7 linked regions of the Xenopus tropicalis genome follow. The protein of the gene in region 1 interacts with the protein of each later gene in a pairwise test. Links are inferred from orthologs where the notes say so. Each region holds a gene or a part of one and is shown on either strand. Other genes may lie near its edges.

What was found.
Region 2: the proteins of thap1 (region 1) and acot7 interact in binary tests that used the Homo sapiens proteins (3 or more experiments, as listed by UniProt). The two-hybrid records come from large-scale screens. The link is inferred for Xenopus tropicalis from reciprocal best matches to the Homo sapiens genes THAP1 and ACOT7.
Region 3: the proteins of thap1 (region 1) and bysl interact in binary tests that used the Homo sapiens proteins (3 or more experiments, as listed by UniProt). The two-hybrid records come from large-scale screens. The link is inferred for Xenopus tropicalis from reciprocal best matches to the Homo sapiens genes THAP1 and BYSL.
Region 4: the proteins of thap1 (region 1) and zcchc10 interact in binary tests that used the Homo sapiens proteins (3 or more experiments, as listed by UniProt). The two-hybrid records come from large-scale screens. The link is inferred for Xenopus tropicalis from reciprocal best matches to the Homo sapiens genes THAP1 and ZCCHC10.
Region 5: the proteins of thap1 (region 1) and phf1 interact in binary tests that used the Homo sapiens proteins (3 or more experiments, as listed by UniProt). The two-hybrid records come from large-scale screens. The link is inferred for Xenopus tropicalis from reciprocal best matches to the Homo sapiens genes THAP1 and PHF1.
Region 6: the proteins of thap1 (region 1) and eef1aknmt interact in binary tests that used the Homo sapiens proteins (3 or more experiments, as listed by UniProt). The two-hybrid records come from large-scale screens. The link is inferred for Xenopus tropicalis from reciprocal best matches to the Homo sapiens genes THAP1 and METTL13.
Region 7: the proteins of thap1 (region 1) and dvl2 interact in a two-hybrid assay, tested with the Homo sapiens proteins (2 studies listed by BioGRID and IntAct). The two-hybrid records come from large-scale screens. The link is inferred for Xenopus tropicalis from reciprocal best matches to the Homo sapiens genes THAP1 and DVL2.

The regions. Positions count from the first base shown.
Region 1 is NC_030677.2:112,770,179-112,774,395, forward strand, and holds the start of thap1 (THAP domain-containing protein 1), read right to left. Parts: upstream 2,801-4,217; 5' UTR 2,620-2,800; coding exon 2,549-2,619; intron 1,775-2,548; exon of another isoform or gene 1,703-1,774; intron 1-1,702. UniProt on the Homo sapiens protein: DNA-binding transcription regulator that regulates endothelial cell proliferation and G1/S cell-cycle progression.
Region 2 is NC_030683.2:98,993,487-98,997,442, forward strand, and holds the start of acot7 (cytosolic acyl coenzyme A thioester hydrolase), read right to left. Parts: upstream 2,801-3,956; 5' UTR 2,655-2,800; coding exon 2,608-2,654; intron 1-2,607. UniProt on the Homo sapiens protein: Catalyzes the hydrolysis of acyl-CoAs into free fatty acids and coenzyme A (CoASH), regulating their respective intracellular levels.
Region 3 is NC_030678.2:70,754,085-70,757,584, forward strand, and holds part of bysl (bystin), read right to left. Parts: intron 2,276-3,500; coding exon 2,137-2,275; intron 1,018-2,136; coding exon 884-1,017; intron 1-883. UniProt on the Homo sapiens protein: Required for processing of 20S pre-rRNA precursor and biogenesis of 40S ribosomal subunits. May be required for trophinin-dependent regulation of cell adhesion during implantation of human embryos.
Region 4 is NC_030679.2:37,651,999-37,654,620, forward strand, and holds part of zcchc10 (zinc finger CCHC domain-containing protein 10), read left to right. Parts: intron 1-74; coding exon 75-116; intron 117-1,430; coding exon 1,431-1,722; 3' UTR 1,723-2,622.
Region 5 is NC_030684.2:71,995,233-71,999,313, forward strand, and holds the start of phf1 (PHD finger protein 1), read right to left. Parts: upstream 2,801-4,081; 5' UTR 2,589-2,800; intron 1-2,588. UniProt on the Homo sapiens protein: Polycomb group (PcG) that specifically binds histone H3 trimethylated at 'Lys-36' (H3K36me3) and recruits the PRC2 complex. Involved in DNA damage response and is recruited at double-strand breaks (DSBs).
Region 6 is NC_030680.2:107,473,013-107,476,512, forward strand, and holds part of eef1aknmt (methyltransferase-like protein 13), read right to left. Parts: intron 2,646-3,500; coding exon 2,371-2,645; 3' UTR 1-2,370. UniProt on the Homo sapiens protein: Dual methyltransferase that catalyzes methylation of elongation factor 1-alpha (EEF1A1 and EEF1A2) at two different positions, and is therefore involved in the regulation of mRNA translation.
Region 7 is NC_030679.2:153,301,354-153,305,301, forward strand, and holds the start of dvl2 (segment polarity protein dishevelled homolog DVL-2), read right to left. Parts: upstream 2,801-3,948; 5' UTR 2,754-2,800; coding exon 2,593-2,753; intron 1-2,592. Other genes in the region: phf23 (PHD finger protein 23A), read left to right, coding at 3,512-3,548.

The sequences.
Region 1 (4,217 bases):
CCTAATTTTACCTAAGAAAATTGGAAAAACTTATTGACTCGAGTATAAGCCTAGGCATCCATTTCTTTTAACACACCTGCACAAAACGCTATCATCATCATGGAAGATAGAGAAAACATTGCAGATGAGAAAATAATATATTAATAAAATAGATAAATAAATTGGGCATTTTCTCCACCTGTGTATTTCGGCCAGCTGAGAAGCATCCAGAACCACCCTTGCGTTTGACAAAACAACATACTGTATATCCAGTCTCTCAAACACTCAAAATGACCGGCCATAAGAAAACTGGCTTGTGTTAAGCCACCTTAGTTTGTGCAACATTATTGTATTTAATTAGCCCTGGTAATGCAAAGACTTTAGAGCAGCTGCTTTTTAGGTATATCAGGGGAGAAAATGATCAGTGTCTGTTTTTAGGAGGCAAAAATTGGAAAGCAGTGCACACGTTATCCTATACTCATAGTAACACATATCGATCACAGTTCCTATTTAACCCATTAGGTTTCTTAGTAATAATTCACTGTCAACCATTGCCTAAGAGGGAGGACATGTTCCAAAAATCATGAACCTTAAGTCTGAGGCAGGAGGTGTAAAGTGAGCAGCTGTCAGCCTGTGTACAGTCTATGTGTGTCAGTCTGTGTATCCCTGCTGCCTAAGGGCCTGTCTCTGTGGCAAAACTCAAAATATCAAAGCGAACAACTTAATATGCCCTTACCTTGTAGTTGACCCATGTTGCAACTCTGAGTTCTTTTAAATGCCCTTTTGTGCTGTTGACTTACTCTATTTCATTGATCCAGCACCGATCCAGCACCTCGCCAGCCATCGGGCGCCAGCCATCATGCTGTAACCGGGCATTCGTCGCGCACAACATATCACGTACCTTTCCAGCAATCGGGCGCGATCGCATGCACGTATCCAGCACCAGGCATCCGCGCACACATGTCACGCGCACGGGGGGATGCATGCGATTGCGACGGATGCCCAGTGCTGGATATGAAATAGAGTAAGTTGCGCGCCGATGGCTGCCGAGGTGATGGATCAATGAAATAGAGTAAGTCAACACTCGCAAGCATGCGAGCGCATATGTCCAGGGTTGGGCGGTGTGAGCAAGCGAGCGCACGGCCGGGAGAACGTATATACTCGAGTATAAGCCGAGGGTGCCTTTTTGAGCACATTATTAGGGCTGAAAAACTCGGCTTATACTCGAGTATATACGGTACTAACAATGTTCTTAAAAAGTCAAATATTTATTCAATTTAAATTTTAAAATAAGACATTAAAACAAATTATTGCAAAGTAAGAAAGTATGGAGTATATTATTTCAATTGCGGCTTCCTCAATTCAGACATTTTAATCCCAGTGCTAAAAGTGTTAACAGTTAAATTAGATTCTTGCCACATTGATCACAGAATCAAGAACAGTCTACAGCATTGCTGAGCAACATCTGAAGTTTCAGGGGTCTCACACTGAACCCAGACATATCAAAAGGACTGCAGGTTAGATTTGATGTTGGTAATGAGCACACTACACTACAATACATTTTAATAAATGCAACATACTCATACTGAAGGGCTGAATATAGCCCCCATGGCCAACTGCAAGACAACAGCAGGGATCTAAATGATTGGTTAATTAGCCATAAAGAAGATGCATACATAAAAGCAGTGGCGTAACTACAAGGGGGTGAAATGCACCCCTCTAGGCCCACCAGAGAAGCAAAATGGAGGAGTTTTCCATCATGTGACTACGCCGCTGTTGAATAAGTGTACCCAAGGTTAGGTATGCTACTGCATAAAAGGCAACTTTTACAGCAACAATATAATAATGGAAAATATATGTATTTCTCTTTAACAGGGTGTTACAATTCAGAAAAAAATCCCTTTCCTTTTTTCCCTACCCATACCCTAACTGGAATGCGATGTTCCTAAGTGATATTATCTTAACTTATGAATAGGCTTGATACCCAAGGGGTATTTTAGCAGTATGATACATTACTTTGTGCAAATGCTTTTTAAGATTATTATTGAATAGGACATACTTTTTATTTGTTTAAATTAACAAATATTTATGGGTTTGGGTTTTCTTTTATTTAACATAGGCACTGAGAGCTTAAATTTGCCAAGTCAATGTTGGAGAAGGAGAAGGCTGTGTAACATACAACTGTTTCACAGATAAACCCTATGTACAGGGGGAATATTTTCTGACAAGTTTCACTCAGATAACATGCACAATTGTGGCAATTTTTACCAGAAAAAAAGGCAAAAGCGTTAAATATACCAGTCCACATATTTATATGATAAAATAAAAATGAGGTAAAATCACTCTTCCCCTTCTTAGGTCCATTTATTTCAAAGTTTGAACAACTGGATGCAGCTCACACACAGTAACACAAGGCGAGGCCGCGCACTCCCAGCCCCTGACCACGTGGTATCGGCAGGCGCCTAGCATTAGAACAAGCACCGAGCTTCGCGCATGCGTCTCTTGCTTTCAGGGGACCGAGAATACTATCCAGCTAAATATTACCGGGCAAAGCGCAAAATGCACTCACTTGTGAAAAGAGATGGGTTTATCCTTATCGTAGCGATTCTTGCAACCGTAAGCCGAGCACGATTGCACCATGTTTTCCGACGCGCCCAGTTTCTTCTGCTACAGACGGTACCGCCTTATTGCACCTTGAAAAGCGCGACGGGTTTTCCGTAGATTGCTTTAATTTCTCGATCTGGTGTATCGCTGGCTACCGAGTTGACAGCACCACCGAATTAATTTACAATAATTTTGCAGAGACTGTTGGTGAATTGCGCTCCTCCCGGCTCCAAGATGGCTGACAGCGCTTCAGGTCGGCGTCACGTTCGCTGAGCGGGAGCTGGACTACGATTTGCGAGGGTGTACCACGTGGTGCAATATTTGCTCCGCCTATTCTTATGTTTACGTCTAATTGATTTAGCCAGCCGGGGTTTCTTTATATTTCTGTAGAAAATGAGTAGGTTACTCGGAAGGTGTGAGTATATGTAGGATTCAAAGGATTTTATTCGACGTATTTGTTTTAGTAATCAGAAGCGTAACAAGGGCTTGCGACTTTGTACCTTTATATGATCATTAAACACATGTATGTCTTTCAGTACCCTTATTTAGTTGGCGTGTATTATTGATTAGCGAGAACAGGTTAATCGGTTCGTAATCAGCCCGCTTGTGCGCTAGTTAAAAGTGGTAGGGAAGTTGGATTGTAAGCGCCACTATGTACGAGTTGGTGTGAATGAAAAACAATCTCTCTAGCGCTGCCCAACTTGTGGGTGCTGTATGAGTAGTATGTCTGTAATGTTACCTGTGTGTAACGAGAAACAATGCTCCAAAGGTGGGAAGGCATACTTGGCCTCCTGCAGGTAACTTTGGGAAAGGAAGTGCTTTTTGTGGAAAGGCATTTCCTGGAGACTAGTTACCCACAGTAGCTGAGATTTAGTGCAGTGGCACAAGGGGAAATTAGTCAGATTTTTGTTGCCGCGGGTAACCTCCCCGCAAAGCCATCCCACCGGCAAGAATGTAAATCGCCAGTGGGATGGCATACGTGTCGCTACGATTTCACCCAAAGTACTTAGGGCAAGTTCGGGAAATCGTAGCAACGCATATGCCGTATTGTTGCGGGGCAACTAATCTCTTAGTCTGCCACTGCCCTTAGGGCTCTGGCACACGGGGAGATTAGTTGCCCGCGACAAAACTCCCTGTTCGCGGGCGACTAATCTCCCCAGATTGCCATACCACCGGCGAAAATGTAAATCGCCGGTAGGATAGCATACACGGCAGCGGTGGGATGGCATTTCGGGGAGATTAGTCGCCCGAGACACAGGAGATTTGTCGCGGGCGACTAAGGGCCAGAGCCCTTAAAGTGCACCAATTGCCCCTATGTTGTTTCCCCCACCTGAGGTGCAGCCTAATAGAGCCCATGCTCCGGATAGGGGAAACAATAGTTTTTCCACTGCACCACAGTCACCACTGCAGGTAGCCATGTCGGGGCACACGTATGCGCGAGTGTGAGTGCTGCAACTCGCTCATTGTGCACATGTGTGTGACGTAGAAGGGTAATTTACATTCACCACTCCTACATCAGGCACATGTGCTTATCATGCGCATTCGTGCCGACCAACATGGCTCCCTCCTGGTGCGGGTAGCCCAGTGCTGGCGAGGGGGAGTTTTTTTTTAATCAATTGTTTCCCCCAACTGGA
Region 2 (3,956 bases), on another chromosome or scaffold:
CAAAGGGCAGTGCATGCCTTGCAGCAGAACATGTACCATATCCCACAAAGGGCAGTGAATGCCTTGCAGTTGCAGCAGAACATGTACCATATCCCCCAAAGGGCAAAGCATGCATTCCAGCATAACATGTACCATATCCCCCAAAGGGCAGTGCATGCATTGCAGTAGAACATGTACCATATCCCACAAAGGGCAGTGCATGCATTGCAGCAGAACATGTACCATATTCCACAAAGGGCAGTGCATGCATTGCAGCAGTACTTGTACCATATCCCCCAAAGCTTGAAAAAGGGGTCACTTTGCCCCGAAACGTTGCACTACCGCAATAAAGTTTGAACTTAAGGGCTTGTCCCTATTACAGCTCTGAGTGCCATTGCATTTGTGGTTACTTTGGATTTTTGGAGGGTGCCGATCCCCCCAGCAGTGTGCACCGGGCTCATAATCTAAGTTGGAGAGCTAAGGGTGTGCGAGGAAGGTCTCTGGTTCCCCTATCCTCCAAAGGGCAGTACATGTATTGCAGCAGTACATGTACCATATCCCACAAAGGGCAGTGCATGCATTGCAGCAGTACATGTACCATATCCCACAAAGGGCAGTGCATGCCTTGCAGCAGAACATGTACCATATCCCCCAAAGGGCAGTGCATGCATTGCAGCAGTACATGTACCATATCCTCCAAAGGGCAGTGCATGCATTGCAGCAGTACATGTACCATATCCCACAAAGGGCAGTGAATGCCTTGCAGCAGAACATGTAACGTATCCCAGAAAAGGCAGTGCATGCATTGCAGCAGTACATGTACCATATCCCCCAAAGGGCAGTGCATGCCTTGCAGCAGAACATGTACCATATCCCACAAAGGGCAGTGCATGCATTGCAGCAGAACATGTACCATATCCCACAAAGGGCAGTGCATGCATTGCAGCAGAACATGTACCATATCCCACAAAGGGCAATGCATGCCTTGCAGCAGAACATGTACCATATCCCACAAAAGGCAGTGCATGCCTTGCAGCAGTACATGTACCATATACCACAAGGGCAATGCATGCCTTGCAGCAGAACATGTACCATATCCCACAAAAGGCAGTGCATGCATTGCAGCAGTACATGTACCATATCCCACAAAGGGCAGTGCATGCCTTGCAGCAGAACATGTACCATATCCCATAAAGGGCAGTGCATGCATTGCAGTAGAACATGTACGATATCCCCCAAAGGGCAGTGCATGCCTTGCAGCAGAACATGTACCATATCCCACAAAGGGCAGTGCATGCATTGCAGCAGTACATGTACCATATCCCCCAAAGGGCAGTGCATGCCTTGCAGTAGAACATGTACGATATCCCCCAAAGGGAAGTGCATGCCTTGCAGCAGAACATGTACCATATCCCACAAAGGGCAGTGCATGCATTGCAGCAGTACATGTACCATATCCCCCAAAGGGCAGTGCATGCCTTGCAGTAGAACATGTACCATATCACACAAAAGGCAGTGCATGCCTTGCAGTAGAACATGTACCATATCCCACAAAAGGCAGTGCATGCCTTGCAGCAGTACATGTACCATATCCCCCAATGGGCAGTGCATGCATTGCAGCAGTACATGTACCATATCCCCCAATGGGCAGTGCATGCATTGCAGCAGTACATGTACCATATCCCCCAAAGGGCAGTGCATGCATTGCAGTAGAACATGTACGATATCCCCCAAAGGGCAGTGCATGCCTTGCAGCAGAACATGTACCATATCCCACAAAGGGCAGTGCATGCATTGCAGCAGTACATGTACCATATCCCCCAAAGGGCAGTGCATGCCTTGCAGTAGAACATGTACGATATCCCCCAAAGGGAAGTGCATGCCTTGCAGCAGAACATGTACCATATCCCACAAAGGGCAGTGCATGCATTGCAGCAGTACATGTACCATATCCCCCAAAGGGCAGTGCATGCCTTGCAGTAGAACATGTACCATATCCCACAAAAGGCAGTGCATGCCTTGCAGTAGAACATGTACCATATCCCACAAAAGGCAGTGCATGCCTTGCAGCAGTACATGTACCATATCCCCCAATGGGCAGTGCATGCATTGCAGCAGTACATGTACCATATCCCCCAATGGGCAGTGCATGCATTGCAGCAGTACATGTACCATATCCCCCAAAGGGCAGTGCATGCATTGCAGCAGTACATGTACCATATCCCCCAAAGGGCAGTGCATGCATTGCAGCAGTACATGCACCATATCCCCCAAAGGGCAACACAAGCACTTCCGCAATGAAGCAAAGGTGGGTACGGTGTATATTCCCCGCCCACTCCCAGAGCAGTAACCTCCCACCTGCAGGTAGGAACTAGGGTTCCCCCAGCCCCAGCTGCGCAGGGCTTTACTCGCTACAGACACAGGGCTGGTATAGCGCTACATAGGTACATGGCAGCCTGCTGTTAGGGAGCCGGCACAGGGAGGGGTCCCGGCCAGACAGCCCGGCACATAATACACGTGTGCGGTGACACAGCAGGGACTGGCGGCCTGGCCCCTAACCGCGGCCCGCCTAGTGCCATGTACACCCGGGAGCGGGCAGTGGGATAGGTGCCGCTGGGGGAGGCTTACCTGCTGATCTGGATGGCTGAGGATGAGGAGATCTTGGGGAGAGACATGTCCGAGGAGGTTCGGCGGCTGCAGTGAGGAGAAGCGAGGCGGCCGGGCTGCTGTAGGATGGATGCTCTGACTGAGAGGGGAGGGGAATAAGGAGGGGACAGAATGGCTTTGGCTCACTCAGTCCTTTGGCAAAGAGCGCCAAACTCAAACACTGGCTGCGGGTATCTAACAACATGACCAATGTCACTCTCCGATATTTAGTACGTTCCGATTATTATATGCCGCCTGGGCCCAATAATCTAATATTACTCTTCAGTTAGGCACATGTATTCTCATTGTTATAATCTAATATTACTCTTCGGTAAGCACATGTATTCTCATTATTATAATCTAATGTTACTCTTCAGTAAGCACATGTATTCTCATTGTAGTTGGTCCCAGATAATACATCGTATTTGTGATGGAGGCCTGAATGGCAATAATGATAAGGATCCTACCTTTTGCATGAAATTATATAAATTATCCTCTTGGTTCATTCAGTCCCCTGTCTGATGCAGATGAGAAAAAGCAAATGTAAAAACCCACTTTTTAAAATGATTCCCCATCCCAGTTCTACCTATTACTTAACTGTCACTACTATAGCTGCCAGGAGTCTAACTATAGAGAAGTCAGATTTTATTAATCATTTAAAATTCATATTTGTCACATATCACAAATTAATTTCCAATTCATATATGTACACCTAATTGCAATAAATAAACAATCTCAGGCCAGCTTGTTCTAGAGCAGTGATCCCCAACCAGTGGCTTGTGGGCAACATGTTGCTCCCAGGGGCCTCAAAGTAGGTGCCAATTTTTACATTTCTGCCCTGGGGGCATATTTTGGAAGAACAGAGACATATTTTTACTCCAATCAGATAATCCTGCAGGCTGACAAATAGCCAATCACAGTTCTAAAGGTGGCCATACACGGGCCGACTATAGCTGCCGGTATCGGTCCCTTGGACCGATTCGGCAGCTAATCGGCCCGTGTATGGGGAGAGCAGAGCGGCCTGGCCGACCGATATCTGGCCTGAAATTGGCCAGATTCTCGATCGGCCAGGTTAGAAAATCTGGTCGGATCTGATGCGGTCCCCGATCCGACTGCCCCATTGCCGCCCACATAATCCGATCGTTTGGCCCCAGGGCCAAACGATCGGATTATTATTTTTTTTACCTAAATGGTCCCCGATATCGCCCACCCGTAGGTGGGGATATCGGGGGAAGATCCGCTCGCTTGGCGACATCGCCAAGCGAGCAGATCTGCTCGTGTATGGCCACCTTTATTTGGCATCCCCCAAAAAATGTTTTCATGCTTGTGTG
Region 3 (3,500 bases), on another chromosome or scaffold:
TCTTCATTCCCAACTTCTGCCAGGTGATGCGGGGTAAGTTGCAAATAAAAATGAAGTCCCAAATAAATGCATAATGAAATACTAGAATTCTTAACCAGAAGGGCAATACAGTCCAAACCAGGGATGGCATAGTTGGACAGCTTAAAAATACTGCAGTATATGGATAGGTAGGCATTTTGTTAGTAGCTTTTGCAAATTATGTCTTAATTTTCTTTAATATATTGATTCTGGTGAGTAAAAAGGATGTTTTTTTCCTGTCTGAGGCACTGCCTCAGGTTATTTTCTGGTTATTTTGGTTCCCTCCACAACAAAAAAAAATATATACAAGCAAGTTAAATGGCTCCTGATATTATTGCCCATAATGTGTGTGAAAGTACATTAGGAACCTTAGATTGTAAACTATAAGGGCGGGACTGAAGTGAATGTTCTCTGTAAGGGCTTTTACCCTGCATTCAGTGGGTGGATACAGCGTGCAGTGGATTTCTCCTGAGTTCCACCTCAGGGTGGAACTCTCAATGTGTAAAAGCCCTAAAGAACTGTGTAAATGCCAGCACAATAATTATTAGGGATGCACCGAATCCCGGCGTTTTTTTAAGGATTCGTTTTCGGACAGATCTGCGAATCCTAATTAGCATATGCTAATTAGAATTTGGAAAGGGTTAAATGTTTAACCCTTCCGATCCTAATCAGCATATGCCAATAAGAGTTCGGAGGTTCGGCCGAACCCAAAAAAGTGGGTTCAGTGCATCCCTAATAATTATAATGAAAATAATAGTTATATCACCAAAATGATCATTTGTGCTTCTTTACATAATGCTGCTCCAAATTATTTCAAAGACAAACCATGGATCTTTTTAGTCTCTGTAACTGATATAAGTCCCACCTGGTAGCCTGGTACATAGCTGCAGCTGTCCAAGTTTCAGGCTCTGTAATGTACAGAATCTGCTCCCAATTTGAGAGAGCAGGAACTATTTTAAAAGCTTTTGGCAGCTTTCCACTACGATAAGAAGACAGGACCTAAAAGGTGAAGTCACAGAGAGTATTAGCAAAAACATGTTCCTCAGACAACATAAATAGGTAATTAATAACATTAGCATTTAAAAAAAATTAGCATTTATGTACAGCTTAGTCAACACAAGAAAAAACTTTAGCACATGTGGTGTATTAACAGTTCCTGGGCTGTTCTGAGTATATGATTCGATTGTTCAACAAATGGGTTCATCCAATGACCCTTGATAGGTGGTCACTAGTTAGCTGAATATTATATTTTAAGCATTATAACATTTGTGAATAATTCTAAACACAAACAATGGCCAGAGAATGTAATAATTTTCAACTTGCTGAACATGCTTTAGTTAAAGCCTCCAGGGCCAAACAAACACTCCATTTACCTGTGCAAGATTTTTTTTATTACTTAGCCAAGGAAATATATATATTAGCACTTCATAAATTTAGTTGAGTCACCAAATACACACCCAAATGTATGATATTTGGTACAACACATAGTTGGTTAGATGCAAGTCACATTTTGCCCCCTTTATGGTAATCTATTAATAATCCCAACCACAAGGGCATTTTACATGATAAAATAGAGAGGTAGAAAGAGATCCAGGCAAAAGAATTTCCACATCAGTTGTCTTACTAGCATATAGTAGTGCCTATTACTGTTCTCCGCTCAGTCTCCTAAAATAATGTTTCCCATGAGAATTAACTTAGTCTTAAAAGAACGAAAGAGAACATTAAGTATGTATGAATGTTTTCAGCTTGTGTACTAGGTCTAGTAACCAAAAACAACCAATCACATTGTTGCTTTCAAACAAGATATCAGTAGTTGCTACCTACTGGCTGGTCAGCCTGATGCAAACCCTGCAGCTTTTATTATATCAACCCTGTAAAAAAAAACCCTGTAAAAAATTCCAGATACTGCTGCGAAATGTATACATTATAGTGTATACATTATATTTATATATTATAAATGTATACTATAGAAAGAAAAGTAGTTCTGCTGGGCTATCTGAAATGAACTGAAAAAGTGTAGTGGAGGTGAACTACCCCTTTAACAGCTGATCACTGATCATATTCTTTGCTGAGCTGCATTCATTTGGAGGGACCAAAAATATTAAATATTATTCTCACCTCTTTTACCCCTTTATAAACCTCAAGTACCCGGGGGTCCAACTGTGGCATTGGCCGTCCAGAGACCTCTGACATCATAGTTTCTACCTCTGTTTGCTTCTCTGTGATCTTTTCCATAATTATATCAGCTAGAGTGCGTCTGAAATACAGGGAATATTTCTATAACATGGTTGAAGGACACAGATATTCCATCCACACATTGATATCAAATACAATTTATGCCACAGACTTTGCTGCATGAGTACATTTGTGGTCTATATGGCATAGGGTCTCGATACACTGGCAAGAATGACAACCTATCACAAAAGAAGGAGTAACCATAGGTGTTCTATTAGATCCGCACTGAGCAGGTTGAACAACTTAAGTGATTCTGTAAGCAAAGTAGATTTTTTTGTGGGTGTCCTAGGGGCCTAAATGAACAACTGCTGTTATCAGTATTGGAGTGACCTTTAAGTTTTTTATTTCCATTAGTTTTTTTTTTTTTTGATTGGAGGCGCTATGTTGCAAATCATGTAATTTGGATCTCCACTTTATGGGAAATGCATATCATATATGATTTCCTCATGCTGTTTGCCATATATGGTTCCAAATTTCGAGATAACGAATTCCTTGCCCCACATACCCGATATACATGGATGATGATAAGCAAAAATAAAGAATTTATACTCACGTAAATTCCTTTTTCTCAGTCCCGAAGGCAGCACTTACTTAGAGAGATGTCATACCTAGGGTAGGAAAAACACTACCTTCTCCAAATAAATTATTCCGCCCCCTTTACCCAAAAAACCTCTTCCCTCCACCAACCTTCAGTGATTTCTCAAGCAATAAAACACAACACAATGCTGCTAAATTATTTACTAAGGGAGGAATATTGTGCTGCCTTCGGGACTGAGGGAAAAGGAATTTACGTGAGTATAAATTCTTTGTTTCCTTCACGTCCCTTGGCAGCACTTACTTAGAGAGTTGAGTAGCAGTAATCAAGGGGGGAAACTTTACAACCAGAAAGGAGAACTGTATTTGCAAAAGCCACTTCCCCAGGAGTACTCATATTTACACGGTAATGGTCTGCAAAAGTCGCCTCCAAGTTCTGCCTGCGAAGCAGACACTGCCCTTGTAGAATGTGCTCTGAGATCCACTGGAACTGGTCTTCCTGAAGAAGAATATGCAATAGAAATCGCAAGCTTTATCCACTTGGCAATGGCAAATTTAGAAGTGACCTTGCCCTTGTTAATAGGGTCCTTGTGGCTGGTCGCAATTAAGGCTCCTATGTCATCTACTGGTAAAAATTCCTCCGAATCCGAAATTTCTCCTTCCTCTGAGTCAGAATCAAATTTACACTTTGGTCTTCTGATATTTCCCTTGGG
Region 4 (2,622 bases), on another chromosome or scaffold:
TATTTGGCTTTTATTTGCCTGCACAAATTCAAATTTATGTTCAGCTAATGTAAAATTGTGTTTTCTTTTTGTAGCAGTGGCAACAGTGTTGCTGAAACAAAGATGAAGAAGAAAAGGTAAATTTAAACTTGTTTAAAGCTCTATAGCACCAGGGACTTTAAAGAGATGCTAATATTAGCTGTGTTATTAAACTGTACACCATGTGCAGCAGCCCAGTACACTAAGAGAAGTGCATCCCCTGAGTTTCATAATGCTTTGAATTTTTATTTAAAAAAAAAAAAAAAAAAGTTATATCAAAACTGAAATGTATGTGGCTTTCCCAGCATATCTTCCATTTTACAGAAGGAGAAACACTTTCTGGTGAAAATGGCATTATAGGATGCCGAAGAGGAGATGTTTAACTTTTTTGGTGGAGACCACAATTATGTCAGGGCCCCCTTAGTGTATATCAAGGTTAAAGACACCTGAAAACACTATTGCATGAATATTTAAGACAAAAAATAGGTGATCATCATAAAGACATTTCAGTTGAGCTTCCATAAATATTGAGGAATAGGCATCATCCAAAAATCTCAATTCAGCCTGGACTCCCCATTCATACCTCTGCCGTCTCTGCCCCACAGAGGGCCAGCCACACAGTTGAGGAATGAATTCTCTAGATAAATTCTACCATGTTGATGATTGCTTTTTATTAATTGGGCTTCTTTTGTAAGTAACTGTTACTTGAAGTTCCTAAACCTGACTGTTCTGCTTATCCTGTCAGTTACAGCTTTTAATGCTAACGGACTACTGCTGCACAAATATGGCAGCCCCCCTCAAAGAGGAACATGGGGGATCACATAGCTAATGTAAAAGCATTTAGCAAATATTTTAAGGCAAAATTATAAATAGCATGCAAAGACAATGTTGTTAAAGTGTCCCTTTTAATCATTGAGCAAAGCACTCTTTTAGAGATACTTAGGACATTCACAGTGAACCACCAGGAAATCATTAGCGGGATCTTTATTTATTGGTGGTATTAACATAATTACATTTAAGAGACAGTAACACTAAAACAAAAGCTGCTTAGGAATATGTTTTAGTTTCTATATATTGTTAAAGACTAGGGGAATCTGTTTAGATTAAAAGCATTCCTGCTATGCAATCACATAGTAAGTTCTTGGCAAGGAAATGTAAATGTATAGCATTTTATGCAGGTTCAGTTTGAAAAAAATATTGAATCCTTTACATGCATATTTGTTAATGTTACAATATTTTATAAATACATATAAATATTTTATAAATAGCATAAAAAGAGCTACAGATCTGAACACTATTAATACTGTATATAGCACATTTCTGAATGAAGTGTACTGTACTATTATCAGGTTTTTAAAATATATAAGTTTTTGCCTTTTTTGTTGTGCCAACATGCATTTTTCCCCCTCCAGGTCTAGAAGTGTCACAAGCTCCAGCGGTAGTAGCAGTGGGAGCAGCAGCAGCAGCTCTGATACAGACTCTTCTTCAGACAGTGAAGACACCTCCAGTTCTTCATCATCTTCAGAGGACAGTGACAAGAGCACCTCAAGCTCTTCAACTTCCTTGTCCTCACAAAGTTCATCCTCCTCATCTGAGTGTGACTCTGACACAAGTGCCAGCAGCACCAGCGCAAGCAGCAGTACCAGCAGTGAAGAAGACAGTAGCTCGGAGGATGAGCCTTTGAGAAAGAAAAGAAAGAAATAGAATTCATGAAGAGACCTACTTCAAAGCTTTCTCATGGCGTCCTTATAAAGATTCTACTTTATTCGATTATCAAAAACCTTTTGTTACAGCAATTGGCTAGCGTACATTTAATACAGTTTTACTTGACAAATCCCCAGCTCTGGTTGATTGCTTTTCCGGATCTCAAGTGGCAGATCCTAGTTTCTTCCGTCTCTGAAAGACCAAAAATGCCATGATACTTCCAAGTTACACAAAGATCACCAGAGAATTTAAAGGGCCACTGTAAATTGGTGTATTAGCTATGGAGGCTTATTTTAGTATGTAAATAGGTTCTTTGTACAAACTGTGAAACAATCAATCCACTTCTCTTACATTTTAAAATATAAACAGGGTGCAAACTAGGAACAAATGTTAAATATTTTTTCCTTCACTTGAAAGTGCTGACTGTACTCATGAAGACAATGTCTGTGAGAATATATTTTTCGAGGGCTAAACTAGAGAGAGAGAGAGAGAGAGAGAGAGAGAGAAATATATGTAATAATAATAGGGTAAGTGTTGGACTGTATTGTAGTCCAGCTTGTTATATTTTGTGGAGAGGAAGAAACCACAGACTTGAACTGTTGAAGTTCATTTGTTATGTTCGTTGTGCTGCGAGATTGTAAATAGCATTTCAGTGTTCTGCCAGGTGCCATGACTTCAGACATAGTCATTTGACCACACCCTGGGTGGCAGACTCTGCTAGTTTGAAACTTGATACAGTCACCTTGTGTTATGTTTTGGGTTACTGACAATGTGTGCCTTTTTATTATTTTTTTTAAAGTGACAAAAATCTAGTCTTAAATTCTAAGCTATGTATGGATTTCTTCAGTTTGTTATCAAACGTGACTCTATGATTGGATTCTAAAGTTCTAACAGCAACAA
Region 5 (4,081 bases), on another chromosome or scaffold:
AAGAAAAACAAAATGAAGACTTTGGAGTGGCCTAGTCAAAGTCCTGACCTGAATCCTATTGAGATGTTGTGGCATGACCTTAAAAAGGCGGTTCATGCTAGAAAACCCTCAAATAAAGCTGAATTACAACAATTCTGCAAAGATGAGTGGGCCAAAATTCCTCCAGAGCGCTGTAAAAGACTCGTTGCAAGTTATCGCAAACGCTTGATTGCAGTTATTGCTGCTAAGGGTGGCCCAACCAGTTATTAGGTTCAGGGGGCAATTACTTTTTCACACAGGGCCATGTAGGTTTGGATTTTTATTCTCCCTAAATAATAAAAACCCTCATTTAAAAACTGCATTTTGTGTTTACTTGTGTTATCTTTGACTAATAGTTAAATGTGTTTGATGATCAGAAACATTTTGTGTGACAAACATGCAAAAGAATAAGAAATCAGGAAGGGGGCAAATAGTTTTTCACACCACTGTACATATTAACATGTAATAAATACACTGAGATAAAAATCAGTTATACTATATTGAAAGGGGGAGCTAATGTTACAAGAACATGTTCTATCCAATCTGTGGGCCCTTATTGGGTAGGGTAATATAGATAGTGATATTTTAAGATAATTTTCATTTTTTATGGTTTATGAATTGTTTAACTTTTTCTTTCAGCAAACCTCCACTTCAGAAATTTAGAAGCTATATGCTTGCTGGGATCTATTTAAACCCAACAACCAGGCGGCATTATTAATAAAATGGAAGATGAATAAGAAAAGGGTTTGAATATAAAGATAATAAAAGTAATAAAAAGTAACAAAACAATATAAAAAATGTAGCCTCACAGAGATGTCTATGTAAATACAGCCATAAGCACTCACTGAAACGCTGCACTGAGAAACAGGATTTTTTGTATCTTTGTTTTCCTATGTCAGAGTCTGTGCAGCTCTCTCCTCTCTCCCCCTCCTGCTCTCCCCTCCCTCAAGAATGCTAACAACTCCAGCCCCCCCCCCCTTAGGAATTTGTGATCTGAGCCAATCAGCAGGAAGCTTCCTCATAGTCTTATTAACTGTGCATGTACTCAGGTCTTGGTGCAGGTGCATTGCATTATTGGAATTTTCTATACAGAGCTCAGCTTTTTGTTTTTTTTTTTGTTTCCTATGAGGCTTCTGATCATCTGAATGGGAAAAGTATGGGGAAACTTAAGTACACTATTGAGACAACTGAAGGTAAGCCTGCAGCTTGAGATTAACTCTTTATTAGCCTTTCCTTCTCCTTTAAAGCCTCCCAATAGATACTTTGCTTGTGTAATTGTACAATTGCCTTACATAAATATACTTACTGGTTTTAGATTATTTTGGGGTGTTTAGCATATGGTATACTCAGAAAAAGAAAGTTTTTTTTGTCTGGAAAAACATTGTTGAGTGAACTACCAGCACTAATAAGTTTTCTTTAACAGATAGCTCTTTTTAATGACATGGTTTATAGACGCAACAAATAATCTGGGTGTCATGTAGTTACCTTTACAAAGTTTGCTGCAGGTATGTTAGTTTTAAGCTTATTTTTGCACTGCACCCCTCACATTCCCCCTTCCTCCTCACCATCTAATTGTGCAGCCAGTGCATGGCCATTAGGTCCCCCATTCTGGTACATAAACAACATATGTGATGATCCAAAACGGCACCTGCCTGCTTGCTGTGATTGTGTAATCCAAGACTGAAAGAAATAAGCAGGAACGGACCAAGCCGGCCAGGCGCCCTAGGCTGCCTTGCTTGCCAATGTATGGGTATGGGTGGGCACGTGCATGAGCACCGACGTTGTGGATAGAGGGGGTACACAGTGACAAGCTACAGTCTGTGCTATAACTTTAAATGCCTAACTGAAAACTGCAGGAAAAAAAAGTTTAAATAATTTAAATAATGTAAATAGATTATCTACACAACGGTAAGCATTATAAAAAAATAAATATAAAGGGCCAAATCAATAGCAAAATAAAATAATATTGTGTAGCAAATTAAACTCTATTGTTGTGTCATACTGAATACTCAATATGTAGAAAGGTAGTACAAAGGAAAATATTTATCGATAAAAAGATTTGGACAATAAGGCAACAAAGTAAGATGCGTAGGAATTTAAATGAGTCACGTCCATAGCCCCACCGAATAATACACTTCTTCTATGTACTTAGGACGTGCAATAGATACGCAGTTCTCAATAACCCATAAAGTTTCTCCAGATGGCCACTCCGTGCCCAGTGCCTTCCCCACACTGGACGGGATCTGAGTGGCCCACCTGTCTTCAGGAATGGGAGTCAAGAGCCAGTGGAGAATGAGTGCCCCCATAAGCTCATGCCATGACAACTTGATGAGGTCTGACTGAAGCTCAATCAGCAGTATTCATGCAGGGACAAATGAAAAGCCTGGCCTCTCTGCAGATGGCAAGCATTGCACTAGAGTACCGATAACAGGTTACACCAGTTCACATTGACAGAACTAAAGCCTAACATAAACGTTAAATATTTCCAATGTCCACATTTACAAAATCACCTCATAAGACGCATGCATATTAAATACATATCATATAGGTTCTTTTCAGTAACTGCGTACCTTATCAACCGCTAGATGCGGCCGCCATTTTTGATGCTCCAAGCCCATCCCACGCGTGACGTTGATTTGCTTGGATCTAAATGCCAGTGCAGTTTCTTGAGGGCGGTGGAACCGGGCGGTGCCCGGGGGTGACAGCCATGAAAGGTTGAGGAGTCTGACCCAAGTGTTTTGATGCTTTTTCATAGGGACCGACATGCCCGGGCGCGCATGCGCAAGCGGTCGCTCCTGGTGCTGGCTATCTGAAGGTCGTGCTTTGGCATTTTTTAAAGTGGGATAGATTGATTTTGTAGAAGATTATGCGCAGCGTTCAGTTGTTGAATCAATGGCTATTGTGACACCGAGTCTAGGGGTCCACTTGCATGCTGCGTATAGGGGGCCTGTCCTATAGTATGTTATAGGCTAGGTGTGACAGGTCAGTGGGAAACTGGCTAGGTGATGGGCCACTCTGGTATGATTTGTGACTTAAGAGAAAAGAGATTGAAAGGCTGAAGGTTTGGAAAAACATTAATAAACCACTTCTAGAAGTCTATATGGTCTTCAGTTCCTGGACTCTGTAGCATCTTTGTTCCTCAAAATCAGGGTGTAGAAAACAGAAAAAATTAGTTGTCACTACATAGTGTCTGTCTATGGGAATCTTAATCTCACATCCTATTTTCTTCTGTCTTTGCATTAAACACTACTGTGTGAACAGAACAGAGCAAGAGGGCCCACTTACACTTGGGCCCACCGGGAGATTTCCTGGTGGGCCAGTCCAACACTGCACTGGCAGTGAAAACACCTGGTATTGCATTGCAATGTTTTTAATAGCGGTGCACTGTGGGCACCTATCATACCAACATGCATGATACTTCCACTGTTGTCACTGTGAAGAAAACTTAACAAATGCTAATGTGTTGTGGCACAGACACAGGTTCTGTCAGAGATCTTGAATGGTAAAACCCTCTTGGACTCACATAATGCACATAATGCTCCTGCTTGTGTCTAGATGGCAAGTGAGTCTCAAAGGGGAAGTTGTTTCTTGTGTGGAAACAAACACCATATTATCAACTGTGTTATGTATAGTGATATATATTATGTATCCTGAAACAATGTAGCAGATAGCAGTTTTTCTCCAGGGAAATAATTCACAAAAGTGGAATAAACTGAAATGGGAGGAAGAAATATTATTGGCATTAAACTGGAGATTGTCAGATTCACAAAAACATTAATTCATTTTGTCAATATGGTGGTTATGTACTATATGGTGTTCTCCAGATTAACTTCACTGGTCTGGGGTACTTTTGTTGCCAACTTCTTCTATCGCATCTTCTGATCTGGGCAGGATAGGAAAAGCCAGCTCTATTCTTCCAAGTTTGGCTTTTTCATTAACATGCACACCCAGACCAGAAACCTGGAGGATAAAAACATAGAATGAAATTCCCCCAGACCATTGCAGTTTTTAGTGAAAAGGAGCACCAGCCCAGGCATCAAGCTAGCATTTGTAATTACTGGGG
Region 6 (3,500 bases), on another chromosome or scaffold:
TGTGGAGTTTATTGCAACAGCAAGTTTTATGAATTACTAGGCATTTTCAAGGACACATCATTTAATACCAATATTGAGATGCTCCATTCCTCACTGGAGATAAATTTACGCTGGCTGAATTGCTATATTAAAAAACCTAAATAAGAAATTAAATGCATGTGACACACAAAAGGTCCTTAGGAAGTACCACCTGCCCTAGTAGTCACAATCCCTATACTCATAGGCATGTTTCTGTTACAGCCTGGCTCAGTGCTACCTGGGAATTGGCACCTGAAGGAACAAAATAGAGCATCAGCTCTGCCAAAGAGAGAAGGTACATTGTGGGCAGCCATATAGGTATAGGTCTTTCTAATCCTTCCAGTGTAATCTGGTATGATTGCAAATAACTCTTCCAGAAATGAGTAAAGTGGTTTGCAGGTTTGCACCCTTGACCAGGGTACCAAAGTTCCTTAGCAAAGCTCTGACTTTTTGGTTAGTCTCCAGTTTCACACATAACTCTGCTAGCAAAGTGCTAACTTCTTTTAATCATGTATAGTGTGGGGGAGATTTTTTTTTAAAAAGGCTTTCAGCAAAACATGCCCAATTTGCAGTGTATATATATATATATATATATATATACATACATACATACATACAATGTTCATCCTTGCACCATTTAGCCTATTGTAGCCATATATGAGTTGCTACAATCAATGAAAACCAATCAGCTCTGGGTATTAAAGTGATACTGACAGCCAATTAACATTTTTTTACACCTTCTGTTGTGTTTTAATATGTATCAGCTTTAAATTCCTTATAAACTAAATCTGCAAAGTTTTTTCGCTTCATAATTATGGTAGCATGAATTACAGGCCCACGGAGCAGCCATGTTTGTTCCCCTCTTTCAGGTTTTAATTTAAATGCCTCCCAAGTGAATAAATATGCTTTCAGCCGGTGTGTGACAAGCTCAGCTCTGTTGTCTATGTGTAATGGGAAGGGGGAGGAAGAGCCCTTAGAAGCAGGCAGGCACGGGAAAGCTATTTAAATTCTTTGTGCGAAGAGCAGAAAGGGGGGGCAGCCCTCTGAAGCAGGCAGGCAGGCAATGGAAAGATCAAGCCTGCCTGCTATTTAGTTCACAATGCGAGGAGCGAGGGAGGAAGGGGGAACTCTTTGAAGCAAACGGCAAGCTGAATCCTCCCAGTTTATGACAGATTGAGAAGCTACAGTCGGGCTGCCAGTCGGGTTCAGGATCTTCAGTAGGATTTATGTAGAGAAACAGGACTTTTAGGAAAAAACAGTCAACATGATCTAGGTTTGGAAGTAGGTTCATATTTTTAAAAGAAATGTTTTGGTTTCAGTATCACTTTAACGCCTGGTGCTACCTTAGGTCTATACATGAGCAGAATGGGTGGAAAAGAACCAGTTTAAAAGGGATGTCCTGGTAGGAGAAAACATACATTTAAAATTTGCCCTACCCCTCTTGAGAAAAGGGTGACCTTTTTTTACACTTTGCTTTAGCAGAAATCATCAGCAGGGAAAGAAAACACACAGCACAGGGTTAAGTGCTTTGCAGCCAGTAGAATTAGCTTGACTTAGAAAAGCCCAGGCAGGTGCAGTAGCATTTAACTCCACTCTTCCCTCACTAACTATCCTGCTGCTGCAGTCTGCTCTGAACCAAGGATTGGGTAAGCCCATCATTTCAACATTAAATATTATAGGAAGAAGACATATTTTCTAATATTGGGAAAAATATTTCCTTTAAAAAAAAAAACTATCACTCAGTACAGCAAAGCTGCAAAAAAGTAATGATTTAAAAACCATAAAGCAGCATAAAAAATTCGATTAGAATACAATTTTCTAGTCTCAAACTAGGAGTTCATTTAAATGGGCACAAATTTTACGAAAGTGCCTGAATTTAATAACAACTAAAAACCCAGCATCATTTGTAATCTAGGTTAGAAGAGGCCAGAGAACAGAAAGGCAAACAATTAAAAGACACAAAAACCTCTCACCAGATGTTATCCTAGAACAAGGCAGAGATTTTTTTTTATAATAGGACAGGCACTTTAATAGCATGTATCTTCCTTGAAGACCAGGAACTTTTAGATGGACCATTTTGTATTTGTAATGTTCATTTTTGATTTGTTATCCAACATTTCACTGAAGAAAATATACTTGGTTCTTTATAAACACATACAGGTATGTTTAAACACAATTTGGTAAAGTTTATGTGTAACACATTGTGGGTATGCCTAGGTAGCCCAGTTGACCGCACCTAATCTAGAAGCAAGGGCTTCATTAACATGTGGATGTGTGCAGTATCATTTTTAAATTATCCCTGGGCCAGCCCCTGCTGCAATTTTTTGTAAGAAAATTTCCAAATATAGTTTTTTAAACTATCTGAACGGACTTCAGCATCTCAGCCAGACTGTAAGTGCTGTCCCATTGAACCCCGGGCTTTTTAAGTTTTTTCTCCAAGTTCATTGCCAGTTCTTTTAGCTCTAAAGAGCTGAGTTTCCTTTCTGAATTTGCACAGCAAAACAAGATCTCATTGACTTCTTCATCAATCTTCTGGGCATAAATCAAAGGGAAAATTTCACGGAGAACATTCAGCACCTTTAATCTCAAAACTGCATCACGGCATACCAAGTTCAGAATGAATACACCTAAGAGAAAAACAATCTTTCATTAGCACAAGCTTCATGAATAGTTAAACAAAGGTGTACTGATAAAAGGCTGTAGAATAACTAATCCATTTGAGCAACTATAATATTAACATGTAACCACTACCATATTATAAATAATACATATTTAGCATGAAGAGGTACAAGACCCTTAGTAAAGGGTTGAAAATGCTAAAAGTAGTCAATATATTGAAATATAAGCCTAGTTTTTCAGCATCCAAAACGTGCTGAAAAAAATCACCCTCAGCTTATACTCGAGTTGGGTGCCATGGGTGCCCCCAGACTAGAACCCTCTGTCCTTTGTGAGCAAATTAGGCCACCTGCAACCAAACCGTCCAGTGCCCTGGCTGCCCCCTGTCGCAATACTTATTTCCCCTTATGTGTCCCCCGGGACTGGGTCTGCTGTCAGTTTGCCAATGCGCAATGAGCATGGGGTAGTACTCATATTGTTTTTGTGGACCCTCTTCTCCACTTACAGAGCTAGTTTATGGTTTTTCTTTGAAATAAATATTTAAAAACATATACCCCACTGATGCCTCAATTAATGTAATTTTATTGGCATTTATTTTGATTATTGAAACTTAGCAGTAGCTGCTGCATTTCCCACCCTAGGCTTATACTCGAGTTAATAAGTTTTTCCAGTTTTCTTAGATAAAATTAGGTACCTCGGCTTATATTCGGATCGGCTTATACTTGTGTATATATGGTATGACACATATTTCAAGGAGTGGTGGTGGGATTTGTTTTGGTGAGCTCTTCATGCAGCCAAAGGTTAAAAAAAAACATGTTTTTCTCCCACAAATTTAATTTCATCTGTATTCGTTAAAATAACTAAGA
Region 7 (3,948 bases), on another chromosome or scaffold:
CACAATAAGCTGTACCCCCATACTGTACTGTCTAAGGGAAACACTATGGCACCTCCTACCCATATGTATAAATACAAATATACAGAGAGGGAATGTTCTGGGCACACAATAAGCTGTACCAGATATTAGGACTGAGGGGGTACATAACATTGGTAGGGGCAGTTATGAGGCAGACATTAGGGCTGAGGGGGTACATAACAGTAGTAGGGGCAGTGGGCAGTTACTGGGGCAGTTATCAGGCAGACATTAGGGCTGAGGGGTAAATATCAGTAGTAGGGGCAGTTAGTGGGGCAGTTATCAGGCAGACATTAGGGCTGAGGGGTAAATAACAGTAGTGGGGGCAGTTACTGGGGGCAGTTACTGGGGGCAGTTACTGGGGGCAGTTACTGGGGGCAGTTACTGGGGGCAGTTACTGGGGGCAGTTACTGGGGCAGTTATCAGGCAGACATTAGGGGTGAGGGGGTAAATATCAGTAGTAGGGGCAGTTAGTGGGGCAGTTATCAGGCAGACATTAGGGCTGAGGGCTGAGGGGTAAATAACAGTAGTGGGGGCAGTTACTGGGGCAGTTACTGGGGGCAGTTACTGGGGGCAGTTACTGGGGGCAGTTACTGGGGGCAGTTACTGGGGGCAGTTACTGGGGGCAGTTACTGGGGGCAGTTACTGGGGGCAGTTATCAGGCAGACATTAGGGGTGAGGGGGTAAATATCAGTAGTAGGGGCAGTTAGTGGGGCAGTTATCAGGCAGACATTAGGGCTGAGGGGTAAATATCAGTAGTAGGGGCAGTTAGTGGGGCAGTTATCAGGCAGACATTAGGGCTGAGGGGTAAATAACAGTAGTGGGGGCAGTTAGTGGGGCAGTTATCAGGCAGACATTAGGGCTGAGGGGTAAATATCAGTAGCAGGGGGCAGTTACTGGGGCAGTTATCAGGCAGACATTAGGGGTGAGGGGTAAATATCAGTAGTAGGGGCAGTTACTGGGGCAGTTAGTGGGGGCAGTTATCAGGCAGACATTAGGGGTGAGGGGTAAATAACAGTAGCAGGGGGCAGTTACTGGGGCAGTTATCAGGCAGACATTAGGGGTGAGGGGTAAATATCAGTTGTAGGGGCAGTTAGTGGGGCAGTTAGTGGGGGCAATTATCAGGCAGACATTAGGGCTGAGGGGTAATTATCAGTAGTGGGGGCAGTTAGTGGGGCAGACATTAGGGCTGAGGGGTAAATAACAGTAGTAGGGGCAGTTACTGGGGCAGTTATCAGGCAGATATTAGGGGTGAGGGGTAAATATCAGTAGTAGGGGCAGTTAGTGGGGCAGACATTAGGGCTGAGGGGTAAATATCAGTAGTAGGGGCAGTTAGAGGGGCAGTTAGTGGGGCAGACATTAGGGCTGAGGGGTAAATATCAGTAGTGGGGGCAGTTAGTGGGGCAGTTATCAGGCAGACATTAGGGCTGAGGGGTAAATATCAGTAGTAGGGGCAGTTACTGGGGCAGTTATCAGGCAGACATTAGGGGTGAGGGGTAAATAACAGTAGCAGGGGGCAGTTACTGGGGCAGTTATCAGGCAGACATTAGGGCTGAGAGGTAAATATCAGTAGTAGGGGCAGTTACTGGGGCAGTTATCAGGCAGACATTAGGGCTGAGGGGTAAATATCAGTAGTGGGGGCAGTTAGTGGGGCAGTTATCAGGCAGACATTAGGGGTGAGGGGGTAAATATCAGTAGTGGGGGCAGTTAGTGGGGCAGTTATCAGGCAGACATTAGGGCTGAGGGGTAAATATCAGTAGTAGGGGCAGTTAGTGGGGCAGTTATCAGGCAGACATTAGGGCTGAGGGGTAAATATCAGTAGTAGGGGCAGTTAGTGGGGCAGTTATCAGGCAGACATTAGGGCTGAGGGGTAAATATCAGTAGTAGGGGCAGTTAGTGGGGCAGTTAGTGGGGCAGTTATCAGGCAGACATTAGGGCTGAGGGGTAAATATCAGTAGTAGGGGCAGTTAGTGGGGCAGTTATCAGGCAGACATTAGGGGTGAGGGGTAAATAACAGTAGCAGGGGGCAGTTAGTGGGGCAGTTATCAGGCAGACATTAGGGCTGAGGGGTAAATATCAGTAGTAGGGGCAGTTAGTGGGGCAGTTATCAGGCAGACATTAGGGCTGAGGGGTAAATATCAGTAGTGGGGGCAGTTACTGGGGGCAGTTACTGGGGGCAGTTACTGGGGGCAGTTATCAGGCAGACATTAGGGCTGAGGGGTAAATATCAGTAGTAGGGGCAGTTAGTGGGGCAGTTATCAGGCAGACATTAGGGCTGAGGGGTAAATATCAGTAGTGGGGGCAGTTACTGGGGGCAGTTACTGGGGGCAGTTACTGGGGGCAGTTACTGGGGGCAGTTATCAGGCAGACATTAGGGCTGAGGGGTAAATATCAGTAGTAGGGGCAGTTAGTGGGGCAGTTATCAGGCAGACATTAGGGCTGAGGGGTAAATATCAGTAGTAGGGGCAGTTAGTGGGGCAGTTATCAGGTAGACATTAGGGCTGCAGAAGAAGCAGCAGGAGGGCAGGCCTGAAGGGGCGGGGCATGACCCCCAGGGGCCACAGGGGAGGGGCGTACCCGAAGTCCTGGTCCATGGCCTTGAAGAAATATTTGGCGTGGCCCCGGCCCAGCGCAGCCTTGAAGTCCCGCAGGCGGATCTCATTGGCCGGGACCGGAACCTTCACCAGGTACGGGGTCTCCTCCTCGTCCAGATGGTAAATGACTTTAGTCTCCGCCATCCTGCGGCCTAGCGCAACCCCAAGCCCCGGCCTCCCGTACTACCCGCTGCGGCCTCTACCGCCCACGAATCCCAGCAGCTCCCCAGAGCGGCGTGTGACGGAATGACGCACTTGCGGGGCGGGACTAACTAGGAGACGCCTCTCTGACAGGCCCACAGGGGCCAATCACAAGACTCTGCAAATTGCCGTTACGTTGTCGCACCACGCACTTCCCACAGACAGCGCTTTCCGCTAGCGCCAAGGGCGGGACAAAACTTACGGCGCTGGTCACGCCCAACAGCGGGTAGAGGACGCAAACTACATTTCCCAGCATGCATCACGACGCCTCGGTCCCTAATGCGCATGCGCTTCACGCCCCTCCCTTTCTGTGCTGATTAATAGCTAAGCGCGGGGGCTGCTGGGAGGGCTCAGTTGCGCAAGGTTTCCTGGGAGTTGTAGTTCTTATTCGGAGAACTTGGCTTTTTCGTTGGGGAGTGACCATGGTTCTTGAACTACAAGGACCGTAATGCTTTGCGCCGGCGGCTGAACTACATCTCTGGTGTTCCCTGCGACGGGAGAGCAGGCGGTTCGGGAGGGGTAGCAGCCCAAGTGGCAGGGTATAAGCCCCGGGGTGGGGGGGTACTTCTGTTAGTGAGGGGGGCAGTAGGGCCTGAACATTTGCCCCTAGGAGGGGCAGTTGGAGCTGTTCCATCCCCTGGCCGGAGACGATCGTGTGACGGAGTCTGTTTCTGCCCCGGAGGGGGTATCAGGGCTCGGAGATGCTGGAAACCACCATGGGGGAGGCCAGTCCTGAAGGTGAGTCGTGTGGGGAGGGGTAGGTCGGGCCGGTGGGGTAATTGGGGCAGAATGGGACAAAACTGCCCTTCCCAGGGGCGGATGGGGCACTTGGATCAAACTGGGGCTCAATATGTTGGGGCAGAAGCTTGGGGGGCAACGGGAGATAGTTACCCCGGGGGGGGTAGTTTCCAAGGTTTGGGGTAAATAACACATGGACGGGGCAGTTAAAAAGGTATAACAGGTAGTGGGGGGGCAATTATTGGGGTATATACTGTGTGTGGAAGGGGCAGTTAGTGGGGTATATACTGTGTGTGTGGAAGGGGCAGTTAGTGGGGTATATACTGTGTGTGTGGAAGGGGCAGTTAGTGGGGTATATACTGTGTGTGGAAGGGGCAGTTAGTGGGGTATATACTGTGTG